2 linked regions of the Caenorhabditis elegans genome follow. The protein of the gene in region 2 interacts with the protein of the main gene of each other region in a pairwise test. Each region holds a gene or a part of one and is shown on either strand. Other genes may lie near its edges.

What was found.
Region 1: the proteins of F25G6.9 (region 2) and jip-1 interact in a two-hybrid assay, tested with the Caenorhabditis elegans proteins (one large-scale study listed by BioGRID).

What each region holds. Positions count from the first base shown.
Region 1 is NC_003280.10:1,324,887-1,330,310, reverse strand, and holds the start of jip-1 (PID domain-containing protein), read right to left. Parts: upstream 3,317-5,424; 5' UTR 3,311-3,316; coding exon 3,215-3,310; intron 2,475-3,214; coding exon 2,262-2,474; intron 1,645-2,261; coding exon 1,484-1,644; intron 898-1,483; coding exon 740-897; intron 1-739.
Region 2 is NC_003283.11:8,564,775-8,572,531, forward strand, and holds F25G6.9 (Signal recognition particle 14 kDa protein), read right to left. Parts: upstream 5,227-7,757; 5' UTR 5,182-5,226; coding exon 5,104-5,181; intron 5,052-5,103; coding exon 4,898-5,051; intron 4,856-4,897; coding exon 4,744-4,855; intron 4,697-4,743; coding exon 4,452-4,696; intron 4,403-4,451; coding exon 3,798-4,402; intron 3,746-3,797; coding exon 3,534-3,745; intron 3,457-3,533; coding exon 933-3,456; intron 878-932; coding exon 799-877; intron 748-798; coding exon 635-747; 3' UTR 501-634; downstream 1-500. Other genes in the region: F25G6.8 (Signal recognition particle 14 kDa protein), read right to left, coding at 96-202, 283-397; symk-1 (DUF3453 domain-containing protein), read left to right, coding at 5,537-5,656, 5,799-7,757.

The sequences.
Region 1 (5,424 bases), on a different chromosome or scaffold from region 2:
TTTAACTTCAAACTTTTTTATTTCAAAAAATTCAAAATTTCTGGATTTTCCGCTGATTTTCGAGCATTTTCACTATAAAATTCGTTTTCAGCGCCATTTTTTACTCTTACCCCAACTTTTTTACGCAATTGTAGAAAACTGTGCATTTTCTCGTGAGGGGCTCGGTGTTTGCGTACTTTTCGAGCTACAGTAACCCAAAATGGTCAAAATTGAGCAGAGAACACGGGGGAAAATGGTGCTAGAGTGAAAAAATTCGAGGAATCTGAATTTTCACTTAATAATTTGATTTTGTGCAAAACAATTGGATAAAATTTTTTTTGAAAAACAACTTTTAAAATTTTCTTCAAATTTTTATATTTTCTGCCGATTTTAAAACATTTTCACTATTAAATTCGTTTCCAGCACCATTTTTCACCCCTACCCCAACTTTTTTACGCAATTCCAGAAAACTGTGCATTTTCGCGTGAGGGGCTCGGTGTTTGCGTACTTGCGTACTATTGGGGCTACAGTACCCCAAAATGATCAAAATTTAGCAGGAAACACCAGGAAAAATGGGTCTAGGGTGAAAAAATGCGAGGAATCTGAATTTTAACGTCAAAATTTGATTTCGTTTGAAATTTTTGGGAAAAAATTCGATTTTTTTTCTTTTTTTTTTTTGATATTTCAAAACATTTTTTCACAACCAATTTTTGTAGTTTATAGTAAAGCCTAGACTACAAACTACAGTAAACAAACTAACGATTCATTGGAGAAACACCGCGAAATGTTTCATCGAAGAAGTTGGGCGGCGAGGACCAACATCCGGACGGGCGGTTTAGAATACGATCCTCATCATCTTCAGAATCCTTATCATGGAGGTTCAGTGATAGATCAGAGTCACATAGGCTCGGGGAGTACCTGGAAATTTGAGTTTAGAGTATGCTGGACTTTGGCAGACCAATACTGAACCAAATTTTCCAAATTTTCACAAAATCTAGATATTTTCAACATTTTTCATATCAAAATTCACGCTCAGCGTCATTTTTTACCCCTAAACCCGCCTTTTCAGCCGATTTTAAGATTTTCTGCAATTTGTCGTAAGATGCTGGGTGTTTGCGCACTTTTCAAGCTACAGTAACCTCAAATTTTCAAATTTTACGCTAGGACTCCAAAAAAAAGTATTCTAGAAGTGAAAAATGGTGAGGAATTCGAATTTTTATGTTTCAAAGGGGGAAAATTTGGATTAACAGGGAAAATGTTCCTTTTTTGCGATATAAAAATGATTTTTCAACAATTTTCATGCCAAAACTCAATATCAGCATGATTTTCTACCCATATCTCTACTTTTTCAGCAAAATCGGAGTTTTTCTGTGCATTTTTGCGTCACGCTCACGGTGTTTGCGGACTTTTGGGGCTACCGTACCCCAAAAGTCTCAAAATTAACGATAGAGACCCAGAAAAAACGGGTAACATGTGAAAAACGATGGAGAATTCGAATTTTCACCTCATAATATTGGATTTCCGCCGCTTTGACTTCAAATTTTCATTTTCTTCCTCAGGGTCCGGCCATTTTTCATCAAGTGTCGGAAGTAGGTCGGCTACTGAGTATTCTGCTTCTTCCGCTATGCTTTTACTCGTTGATTCCATCATTTTTGATAAGGAAATCTGAAAAATGGTGTTCTGGTCTGCTAGACTACAAACTACAAACTATAAACTATAAATTGTAAAATATATACAAAAAATTTAAATTTGGCAGATCAAATCATTTTGAAACTGGCAAATATTGGTCTGACGGACTACAAACTATAAACTACAAACTACAAACTACAAACTACAAGTTATAAACTACAAACTATAAACTACAAACTACAAACTAGAAACTACAAACTACAAACTACAAACTACAAACTACAAACTACAACTATAAATCTCTGACTTCAAAATAGCAGATCTAGCCAAACAAAACTATTAACCTACATATGACAGACTCAATCAATTTTAAACTTGCAAATTTTGGCCTGATGGACTATACACTACAGACTACAAACTACAAACTACAAACTACGAATTATAAACTACAAACCATAAACTACAAACTATAAATTACCAACTTCGAAATAACAGATCTAACCACACAAAACTATGAACCTGCAAATGGCAGACTCAATCAATTTTAAACTAAAAAACATTGGTCTGACGGACTACAAACTATAAACTACAAACTACAAAAACTACAAAGACTACAAACTACATCTTCACCACCACCTCCTCATCCAGCTCACCTCAAAGCTTGTTTTGCTCGGCTTAATTCTGTTATTTTTCATCGCTGCCGCCGCTGCAACGTCATCAGAGTTACGGGGAACTGCGTAAGCGGATTTCGATTTAATAATACTCCGAAGACACGGATGAACCAGAAATTCGGCGTCAGAATCCTCTTCTGAATCGTCATCACCTCCAGAGGAATTGTCGTTGTGCAGCCAGTCGGCTGAGTAGGACTGGAAAAAAATTCAGGAAATTTGGAGGTTTTAGAGGCTTCTTTTTGGTTTTTCGATATGAAAATCGAGTTCCCGACATTTTTTACCCTGGAAACTTTTTTTTTTCGAGCTTCTAGCTCATTTTTGAAATTTTTTGGGTTACTGTAGCTCCAGAAGTACGCAAACACTGCACCTTACGACAAAATGCAGAATGCTTTGAAATTGACTTAAAATGGTGTTTGAGGGGTAAAAAATTGTGTTGAAAATGAAATTCGGTGTGAAAAATTCCAAAAATGAGTTGCGTTTTTTTGCCGAGAAAATTTTTTACTGGAAAATTTGTAGAAATTTGAAATTTTTCACAATTTTTATTAAGAAATTCGGATTCTCCGTAATTTTTCACCCTTAATAAGTTTTTCTCTAAACTTCTGGCTCAATTTTAAGTTTTTTGGAATTACTGTAGCCTCAAAAGTACGCAAACACAAATCGATGCACCATACCTTACGACAAAATGCACAGAAAATTAAAATTGGCTGAAAAAGCTGGGAATGGGGTAGAAAGTGGCGCTGAATTTGAATTTTGATATGAAAATTTTTAAAAGTTGCTGGTTTTCGAGAAAAATTTCGAGTTTTGAAAAAAAAAAAATTTTTAATTTTTTTGTTGCTTTTTGCAAAAAAACCGGTTTAGGAGCAAAAAAACGCTGCTGAATTTGATTTTTATAGTTAAAACCTTTAAAAATCAACGGTTTTCCTGAAAAAACCTACCCTCCGAATAACCGTCGGACACTCGTCATCATCCTCGTCCTCCGTGTTCTCCTCAATCGGAAAATCATCGCATTTTCGACATTCAAATGCGCTCATTTTGTGCTGAAATTTTTAAGACTTAAAATTTCAAGTAGTGGAAAAGAAGTTTTGGAGCAAAAAAAAAAAAAGAAAAAAGGAAAAATAAAAGTGAATCTCTGTTCCAGACATGCGCGCTGGAAAAAATGATGAATGGAGTGGATGAGAGAGTGAAGAGAGTGCAGAGAAAATTGCGTTGAAAAACAACTCAAAAAAGGGGATCATGGAAAAAATATTCAGAAAATTTTCAAAACTTTTGTTCTTGAAAAATTCCAAAAAAAAATTTTTTTTCACCGAAATTCCAAAAATAATTTTTTTTTCCAAAATTTAACTTCTCAACAATTTTTTCGTCAAATTTTACAGCCGAAGCCTTTTTTACCGAGTTTCTAGATCAATTTTCGAGTATTGCGGGGGTACTGTAGGTTCAAAAGTACGCGAACACCGGACCTTGCGACAAAATGCACAGAAACTCAAAATTGCCGGAAAAGACGTGGTAGGGGTAAAATCAAGACCTGAATTTGAATTTTTAGATGAAAAATTGAGAAAGTGAAAAATGAAAAATAAAGAAAATAAGTTTGGAAAAAAAATTTTCTAAAATTTTTTTTTCCCGAAATTCCAAAAAAACTTTTTTAAATCAAAATTGAAGTTCCCTACGAATTTTTTGTCAAATTTTCCAGCCAAAGTCTTGTTTCCGAGTCTCTAGCTCAATTTTTAAGTCTTGCGGGGTACGGTAACACAGAATCTCAAAAATGTCGGAAACAGGTGTGGTATGGATAAAATAAGGTGCTGAGTTTGAATTTTAACATGAAAATCAGGAAAAATCTTGATAAAATAAAGATTTTCGAGAAAAAAACATTTTGCCAAAAACTCAACTTTTCGGGGGTACGGTAACCCCAAAAGTACGCAAACACCGGACCTTACGACAGAATGCACAGAAACCGAAAGTTGTCGGAAAAGGATGGATTAGGGGTAAAATTAGGTGCTGAGTTCGAATTTTAGCATGAAAAATTGATGAAAATTGAATAAATAAAGATTTTCGGGAAAAATTGCTAAAAAAAATTTTTTTTTGCGATGTTTTTTTCTGGCTTATAATTTTCACCAATGTTATTGGCTATATCATATCACGAGTTTTGACATGTTATCTCAATTTCCTCCCCCCCCTTTCTTCACTCCATTTCCCTCATCGAGAGAGCACACACATTTTCCAATAAATTCCGCGCATTTCCTGCTCTCTGAGGGTAGCGTCTTCTTCACACTAATCTCCCGACGAGATAGTATGTGAAAGTGAGAGACGCAGAGAAAATGAGAGCAAAAAAAAGATGTAGTAATGAGTGGGAATAGATTAAGGGGTACCCCCTGAAAGAGGGGGGGGGGGGGGGGTGGGGAGGTGCAGGTTTTTTTCGAAAAACCAAAAAAATTTCTCAAAATCCAACGATTTTCATAATTTTTCACATTGAAATTCGATCTCAGCACCTCATTTCACCCCTAGAACACTTTTTTCAGAGGATTTTGAGATTCTGTGCATTTTCGCGTAAGGTGTGCGGTGTTTGCGGACTTTTGGGGCTACAGTACCCCCCAAAAGACAAATTTGAGCAGGAAACATAAGAAAAATGTTAGAAATTTAATATATAGCCCTATAATTTATTTCCAGGCGAATATATCTTCCGAAAAAGAAATTTTGAAAGAAAAAACTAAAAAAATTGAATTTTCAATGTTTTCAGGTATTTTTTGATAATTTTAACTGTCAAATTCAAGTTCAGCGCCTCATTTCACCCCTGGGACTGTTTTTTCCGATGATTTTGAGATTCTGTGCATTTTCGCGTGAGAGACTCGGTGTTTGCGTACTTTTGGCGCTACAGTAACCCAAAAACGTCAAAATTGTGCAGAAAACGCGGGAAAAATTGTTCAAATTCTCGAAAAACGGGAAATTTGGAAAAACAATTGCAATTTTTTTCGGAAATTTTCAAATTTGAGCAAGAAGCTTAGGTCTGCTAGTTCTAAATCTGTAGTTTGTAGTCTGGCAGACCAAAAAAAAAATGTTGGAATAGATTAAGGAGCACATGAAGACGCCGAATTTTTTCATTTTCTTCTTCTTCTCGATCTTCTTTTTTATAGATAGAATGCATGCCAAAATG
Region 2 (7,757 bases):
TAAAAATTCTTAAATTGTTTTTTTCAAAAAGAATTAGCTCGTTTTTATTGTTGCAAATTTTTATAAATTCGTTTAGTTTTATTCGGTCTACTAACCTCTGTGGCAATCTTTTTGCTTCCCCATTTGGCTCGAAAGATACATGAAATTTCGTCACCCTCTTTGAACGTGCTTCCTTTTGGCATCGCTTTGGTTCGACCGTCATCTGAAAACGTTTCATTAAATTTTTATAATTTTTTAAAAATTCTTTTATATTTTTTAGGAGTTATGATTTTTCGAACTTACATGGCTTCATTGTAACATATACACTTTTTGGTCCTCGAATCTTTGAATCTCTATAAAATGCCGTCAGCTTTTGCAGGAATTGGTCGTTGGGAATATGTTGTTCAACTGCCGACATTCTTCTAAAAATACGTTTTTTGAAGGTACAAAAAAACTAACGGTACACAAGTAGATATCGGCAGAAATACCGTTTGAAAAATCAAAATAAATAAAAATCGTGACAAAATAAATATGTATATTGCAATTGTAACCGAACAAAATAGGAGACACCAGTCGAAATACTCATATAACATTTGATAGTATTTAAAACAATAACTAATAATAAATAAGGAGATCGTTGAGAGAAAAGGAATAATCATTTTCCAACATCTGCAATACCAAGAAGAGATTTCCAGAACTCATCGGTTTGAGTAAGAAGGTTCGGGAAGGTCTCATTTGGGTAGGCAGAGACAATCATGGCGAGCAAGTCTGAAAATATACATTTAAATAAATAAATTCAATTAAATATGAGTGCAGCACCTGTTGCCCCTTCTGTGTGCCAATATTCGTAATATTGTTTTTCCGGCCCATCCACATAATACGACAAAAATGACCCGAACTGAAAATATGAGTTTTGCGATACATTATAAAAATTCTATTGAAAATAAACTCACATGGTGAGCATTGGATTTCATTTCTGGAGCTTCAACAATCCATTTGTAAAATGGTTGCTTAGCAGCGATCATCATCGCAGGAACATGTTCTTGATTTTCAAACCAACACAATGGAATTTCGACAGTATCATTGTTGCTGACGATGATTGAAAGAAAGATGGAAAAGAATGATTGCATAGATCCGCCGAATGTTCTTGCGATGCGGCTTGCAGTAATCACGTCGAGAAGCTTTTCAAATCTCATCTTCCTTGAAAGTGTTCTTGATTCGTGAGAGATCAATGCACAAATCGCATTCTTCTTCGAATTACTCTCCTCCTTGCCAAAAATGTCACAAATTCTTCTGATGTTCATCTTTTCACCTCTGCGAGCTTCCAACCATACATCAAAGCAGTTGGAAATTTGACCTCCGAATGCGTCTGGATCTTTTATCGAGTTCAGAATTGGATCAGTAATTCCAGAAATGTCAAACAGTTTCGGAAGACATTTCATCAAAAAGTTATGAACAGTTGAATCTTTTTGTAGATCTGATAGAGCCATTGAAAGCTTTTTCGATGTTTCAACATCTTCTTTTCTCGCTTGAACGGCCATTTGAACAAGAATCATCGTAAACTCCTTTCTAGGGAACAATTTTGAAACCGATCGTAGATTTTCAGAAAGTACCAAAAGTTCCTTCACAGTCAAAGAACTCGAAAAATGGAAAATTACTTCTGAGATATTTTGTTCACATGCCAACGTAATCATCGCCAAACGAGCATCCGTATCAGCTTTTGTCCATTCCGATCTTTCTAAGAACTTCATCCAGTCAATTGGTGGAAGGAATCGTCCATCATTTCTTCTGTGATTAACAAGACAGCGGATGATGTTTCGAAGAGTTTCCGGTTTGACATTTATTTTCTTATCGAACAACTGAAGAATTCCTTTCAATATGCCTTCAGGTAACTTTCCAGCTGGTATGACCATTTTGCTGCGACCTGTTCCAGAGATTAGAGCTAACTCAGCTAATCCTTCGTAGATTTTTCTCCTCACTTCATTGTTTCCATTATTCCAAAGTTTTTCAAGAACTTTCTTATTATTCTGTTCTATTTCTTTAAGATCTTTTTTTGGAGAGGAAATCAATCCATTAAAGAACTTTTCAATACTTTCATCATCAACCAGCTCCGTTTCTTCATACTTTTCTGTCTTCTCGTCAATAACTATATTGTACGCAACTTCAAACGCTTTCGCACTCATCTGACTAGCACCGTAAGCCTCCGCAGTCACCCACATCATTTTTCGATCAGGAATTTCCTCTTTCTTAAGCTCTTTCGTGGAATCTTGCAATAAACTGACAAGCATCCGATCATCAGTGAGTCCAACATCTTCATCATTGTAAAATGCAGCAACACTTGGGTTTAAATACAGAAGACGCAAACAGAATATGGCAGTGAGTAGGGAAGACTTATTTGAATGGGTTATCAATTGATATATTGGCTCATTTTTCGCAACTCGTTTCTCCTTCAAATTTTTCGGCAAGCGGGTAGCAACAAACTCATAAACGGATAACAACCACGGATTCTGAGCCTTGGATACTTCTTCAACTTGTTCATCATTCTCGATGTTTCTAAGCTGTTGATCGATAGCATCTGCCAAAGCTGTGAGCATCATCATTATATTGTCAACTGACTCAGCCTTGTTCGTTAAACTTGTTCGCCCAGTATTGATGATCTGATCTCTTGCCCAGAGAATATCGTTACTTTTCGACTCAGTGAGCACGTGGAGCACTTCTCTGATACATATTCTCCATCCAGCCATCAATCGAATCATTTCATCGTGTGAACTTGCTGGAACAACATTTTCCAAACAGGATTGAAGGAGGCGCACAGATGCTTGAGCCCGATTGGTAGGGCCTGTGAGCTGAAGAATAGATGCAGATAATGAGAGTGAAGCTGACCAGAACCATGGTTCATTCTTATTTTCAATAATCAATTTATCTTTGAAGGTATCCACTTTTGTGAGCAACGGTGAAACATTGACATCCTGAGCACTAGTATTGTATAGTGGTCGTTGGTACGATTCAACTTCTTTGTGCAAACACAGACTCAGGAAGTCGATAAATCCATTTTGAACTTCTTTTCTTAATTTGACGAATAGAGTGGCAAATTGTGCAGGATTTATTTTCAGTCCTTTTTCGAGTTCATCCAATTCAAATGCTCCTAGCGATCTCCACGCTTCTGAAGCAACTGTGTGATTATCGTTTTGTTTGAGATTTGCTAGCTCCTCGATACAAGACATTCTCAAAATCCGAGCCTGTTCCTCGTTTTCTTCAGGGATAGTGGATGTTGATAATAACCGACAATACGTTCCTAATGATTGCTCGCAACCTCTTTGCCTGGCTCTTTTTGTAAGCATGGATCTTGCGCCTATTGTATCAAGAACTCCACACTTGATCAAATCGGTAACAGCATCCACAATGGCAGCCAACCGAGGTCCTGTACATTCTTTTAATGAATTGCTGATCTTTGAAAGAGCTTTTTCGTTGTCTTCCCTGCAAATTCTTTAGTTGAAGTGAGAAATTTCAGGAAATGTGATTTTTGTTTATTTCAGAAATGATACAAAACTTACGTTACTTTGCAGCACTCCTTCAATAAATGAAGCTCCGCATAAAATGATTCGTCGGACCCATCATCCCTCTTCAAGGCGCAGAGACTAGTCATTGGTTCGAACAACTGTGTGAATTTTGGAATGATCTCTGCTAGGCATTCCAATGATCTTACACGATCACCTTCTAAACAAGCAGTGATTTTGAGGAAGCCGAAGGCAGAACTTATGACGAACTGAAAAAAAATAATTATTTTACATTTCTTGAGAACTTTTGAATTTACTCACTCGATTAACAAATAGATCCTTGATAGTTTCGAGAAGCAGGTGCCGGTGTATTGGAAAGAATGGTTTCTGGTATAATGTAATGAAATAGAGCACGAATTGATCCGCATTTTCTGGAGCTTTTTTGACGAACAAGGCTATTAACTTGCAAATTCTTTCTTGAAGAGATGGATTCGTAGATGAATGAGTCAGAAAAACAGTAAGTGCTGGAAGAAGATGAGCTTTTTGAAGGATTCCTAGCGATTCGTGATAGTTCTCAACGTATTTGATGAAAGACGTGACTTTTCCAGTAGCTATCGTGTGATACATGAATGTTTCAAAAGTCAGATCTTGATCGGAAAAATCGGGAGCAGCAAATGAATATGTATCCCTGCATCCACTGACTCGATTCTCCGAAGCAAGTTTATGATCGGCCATTTTTGATTGCTCAACAAGTTTTACAATGACTTGTTTGTACTGACTGAGCATAACCGCGTAAGGTAAGTAGAGAATGTGATTTGGAAGATTTTTACTTTCGAGAACGGCCGGTCTGTCTCGCATCAGTTTATGACGTTGAAATGGATCAATATTATGTAGAGGATGACTGAGAAGATCTTCTGCGGAACATTCTGAAAATTTAATTATTTAGTTAGAAATCAAACAATTAAATATTTTTACCTCTCAAAAAAGATTCCGGGTCATGTTCACTCTCGTGCCCAGTTGGGTACAAATCTGGTTGATGTTTTAAGAACACATTTTGGGCCAATCCACAATTTCCTACTAGCCTTTTCTGACTATCCGATAGCAATCCAGTAAACGAAAGCACTGCGATATATTGATAAAAGTTGTATCCAAACTCGCTGCTAATGCAGATTTTAGTCAAGATTTCACTGTCAATTCTTGCTGCCACGTCCAGAAATTTTCTGAAAAATATTTACCATATACAAAGGAATACACTTTTTGAACTCACGAAAATGACGGTTTACAATGGCTTATCATCATTCCAAAAGCTCTTTGAATTCGACGTATTCTCGGTGCACGAAGTGTAAACTCTTCCCATAGAGTCTCCGGTGAGTTTGATCCTGAAAAAGTTGCTTTAGATTGCAAAAAAAAAGTACGATTACCTCTAATAAGAAGAATTGGCAAAGTGTCAATCAGAAATCTGAATAGTATGTCTTCCTCCACGACAAAGCAATCGAATAGCAGCTTCCGATATTTTTTCTCATCTTTCGCATCTAGTTCTTTGTTGATAATTCGATTGGCAAGAAAACTGAACCCCTGAAAAATGTGTGAGCATTTCTAATAATAGAAGATTTTATCTTAATATTACCTTCGCCTGAACTATGTGACAGCCAGAATGTAGTTGTTCTCTAATATCGACTAAATCCGCGGGTTCCACGGGATTCATGTCGAAAATAGAAAAAAAAATCACTGAAATTTCAGAGAATTCGCAATGAAAAAATGGTCTGAAATGCAGTTTTGGAGGTTCCAATTCATGCACGAGAAACGCGCCAACAAATCGCGAAGTGCGCCAGCAACTGACACTTGGCGCGCACTAAGTTTTTCAATTTCTATTTTTCGTTGAATTTTCTTAAATTTGAATAATTATATATTTCCGTCATTTACAGTTAGAAATTTCTTTAAATAACTTATAATTACAAGGTTGTTAATTGTTATTTATGTCATTTCATACAATTATTCTTGTCTATTGCAATTGCCGGCCCTCATTTCATTTTTTCTGAAGTTACCGTTAAATATTTCAGATGGACTACATCCAGGGATTGAACGAGGAGAATGAAACGGCGAGTGAACGAATTGGAGAGGCTTTAAAAGAAGCTCGAGATGCGGAGACTATCGAAAAGAAACTTCTTTCTCTTTCTACAGTAAGTTTTTACAAATGGTTTTCTACCAAAATTTTAATTACTTTTTGTTGTGTTTTTGGAAATAAAAAGAACAGTTTTTCAAAGAACTAAAACAAAAATCTACCGGGAAATGACTAGTCGATATTCAATTATTTAATTACAGGCAATGCATCTGCTCATCGACCCGAGTCTCTCAATCAGTATTCTCGACAATTTTCTAACCGAAATGCTGGAATTCGCAGAGCTGAACGACTCAAGGATTCTATGCCTTCTCGTCGATTTTCTTCTCAAAGCAAGCGCTAAAGACTTCACGTTATGTAACAAAACTGTCGAAAGATATAGTTTTTATCTTATTCCCAATAAGTCTATTAAACGATATGAAAGTGTTATAAAACGAGTTGTCGTTGCATCAACAAACTTATATCCGATCGTTCTTGAATTCGCAATCATGGATAAAAATGACAACGCGGAGAGCTGCTGGGATGCTTTTAATTTGCTCAAGAATCGAATTTGTATGCTGGTTAGCGATGATCACGAAGGAGTCCGAACTGTTACCGTAAAGTTTCTGGAAGCTCTTATTTTGTGTCAATCTCCAAAGCCAAGAGAGTTGGCCACTGGTAGCAACATAAGCTGGGCAAGAGAGGCAAATACTAGATTCAATAGGATTTCTCTATCAGATGTTCCACGAAGTCATAGATTCCTATCCTATCATAAAACCCAGTTGGAAGCCGAGGAGAATTTCAGTGCTTTACTAAAGCAAACAACAGTCGCGGAAGCAACATCACAAAATCTTATAACAGTAATTGAATCACTCTGTATGATTACTCGTTGTCGACCTCAATGGGAGAATGCGTTGCCACGTGTCTTCGATGTTATAAAAGCTCTTCATTCAAATGTACCACCAATGCTCAGCAAGGGACAAGTCAAATTTCTGAGAAAATCATTCAAATATAATTTGCTACGTTTTTTGAAATTGCCTGCATCTGTTCCTCTCCAGCAAAAGATCACCACAATGTTAACAAACTATCTGGGAGCTTCACCCAGAGAAGTACAACAGTCGATTCCACCTGAACTGATTCAAAAAATAGCACCGCCACGGCCACCACAGCATCCTGCAGAACCAGTTGCCAAACGTCCCAAGATTCAAAATCAAATATTCGAAGATGATGATGATGACGATGACGAAGCAGGACCATCCACTAGCACTGTAAATGCAAAGGATGCGAGAACTGAAGCCATCGATATGACAGCCAAATTTATTATGGAATGCCTGAATCATGAAACTGTCATGAATCTTGTCAAGATCTCACTCTACACTCTACCGTCAGAAATGCCAGCTGCATTCGCATCATCATACACACCAATAGCAAACGCTGGAACAGAACCGAATCGTCAAGAATTATCAGAACTAATGGCTGTTCAAATGACGAACAAAGAAATTGGACCGGGATATGAGTGGTTGCAGCAACAAAGGAAAAAAGAATATGAAGCAAGGAATAAGGCAAGAAGTGAAGGAATGGCAATCGCCCAAACACCAATCCACGAACCGAATATGAGCAATCGCGTTCCAGCCCAGATTGTCAAACAGTCACTTCAAGAAATTAACACTCTTCCGGTCATTCAAAAAGCGAAAAAGGCGTTCAACTTGGTAGAAGAAGCCGTTGTATTTGACGATAAAGAAGCTGCGGAGATGTTTGAATTAGCTTATGAATCAGTTCTTCAAGCAGAACGGCGAGTTGTTGCTGGTGGAGCAAGGTTGATGTATCAGAAATTAGTTGTCCGGCTGACGACTAGATTCTGGGAAGATTGTACTCCATTTGAAGAAAAGTTGATAGAATTCGTTTTGGCTGATCATAAAAAGAGAAATGATTTGGCGCTTCTATGGCTCTGCGAACTTTACGCACAATATCAAGGCTACTCGAACTGTGCTCTCTTCATGAAGGAAATGATCGCTGGACAAGAAGGACTTACCCAAGCACAAAGATTGGATCGATATGATCAAGCAATGTGCAAGATGCTTGACGCAATGTTGGAAAGAAATATGGAAAAAGAAGCTCTCTTTTATAAAGTTCTACTAGAAACACCACTTTTGACTCCGAATGCAATTGAAAGATTGAAGCAA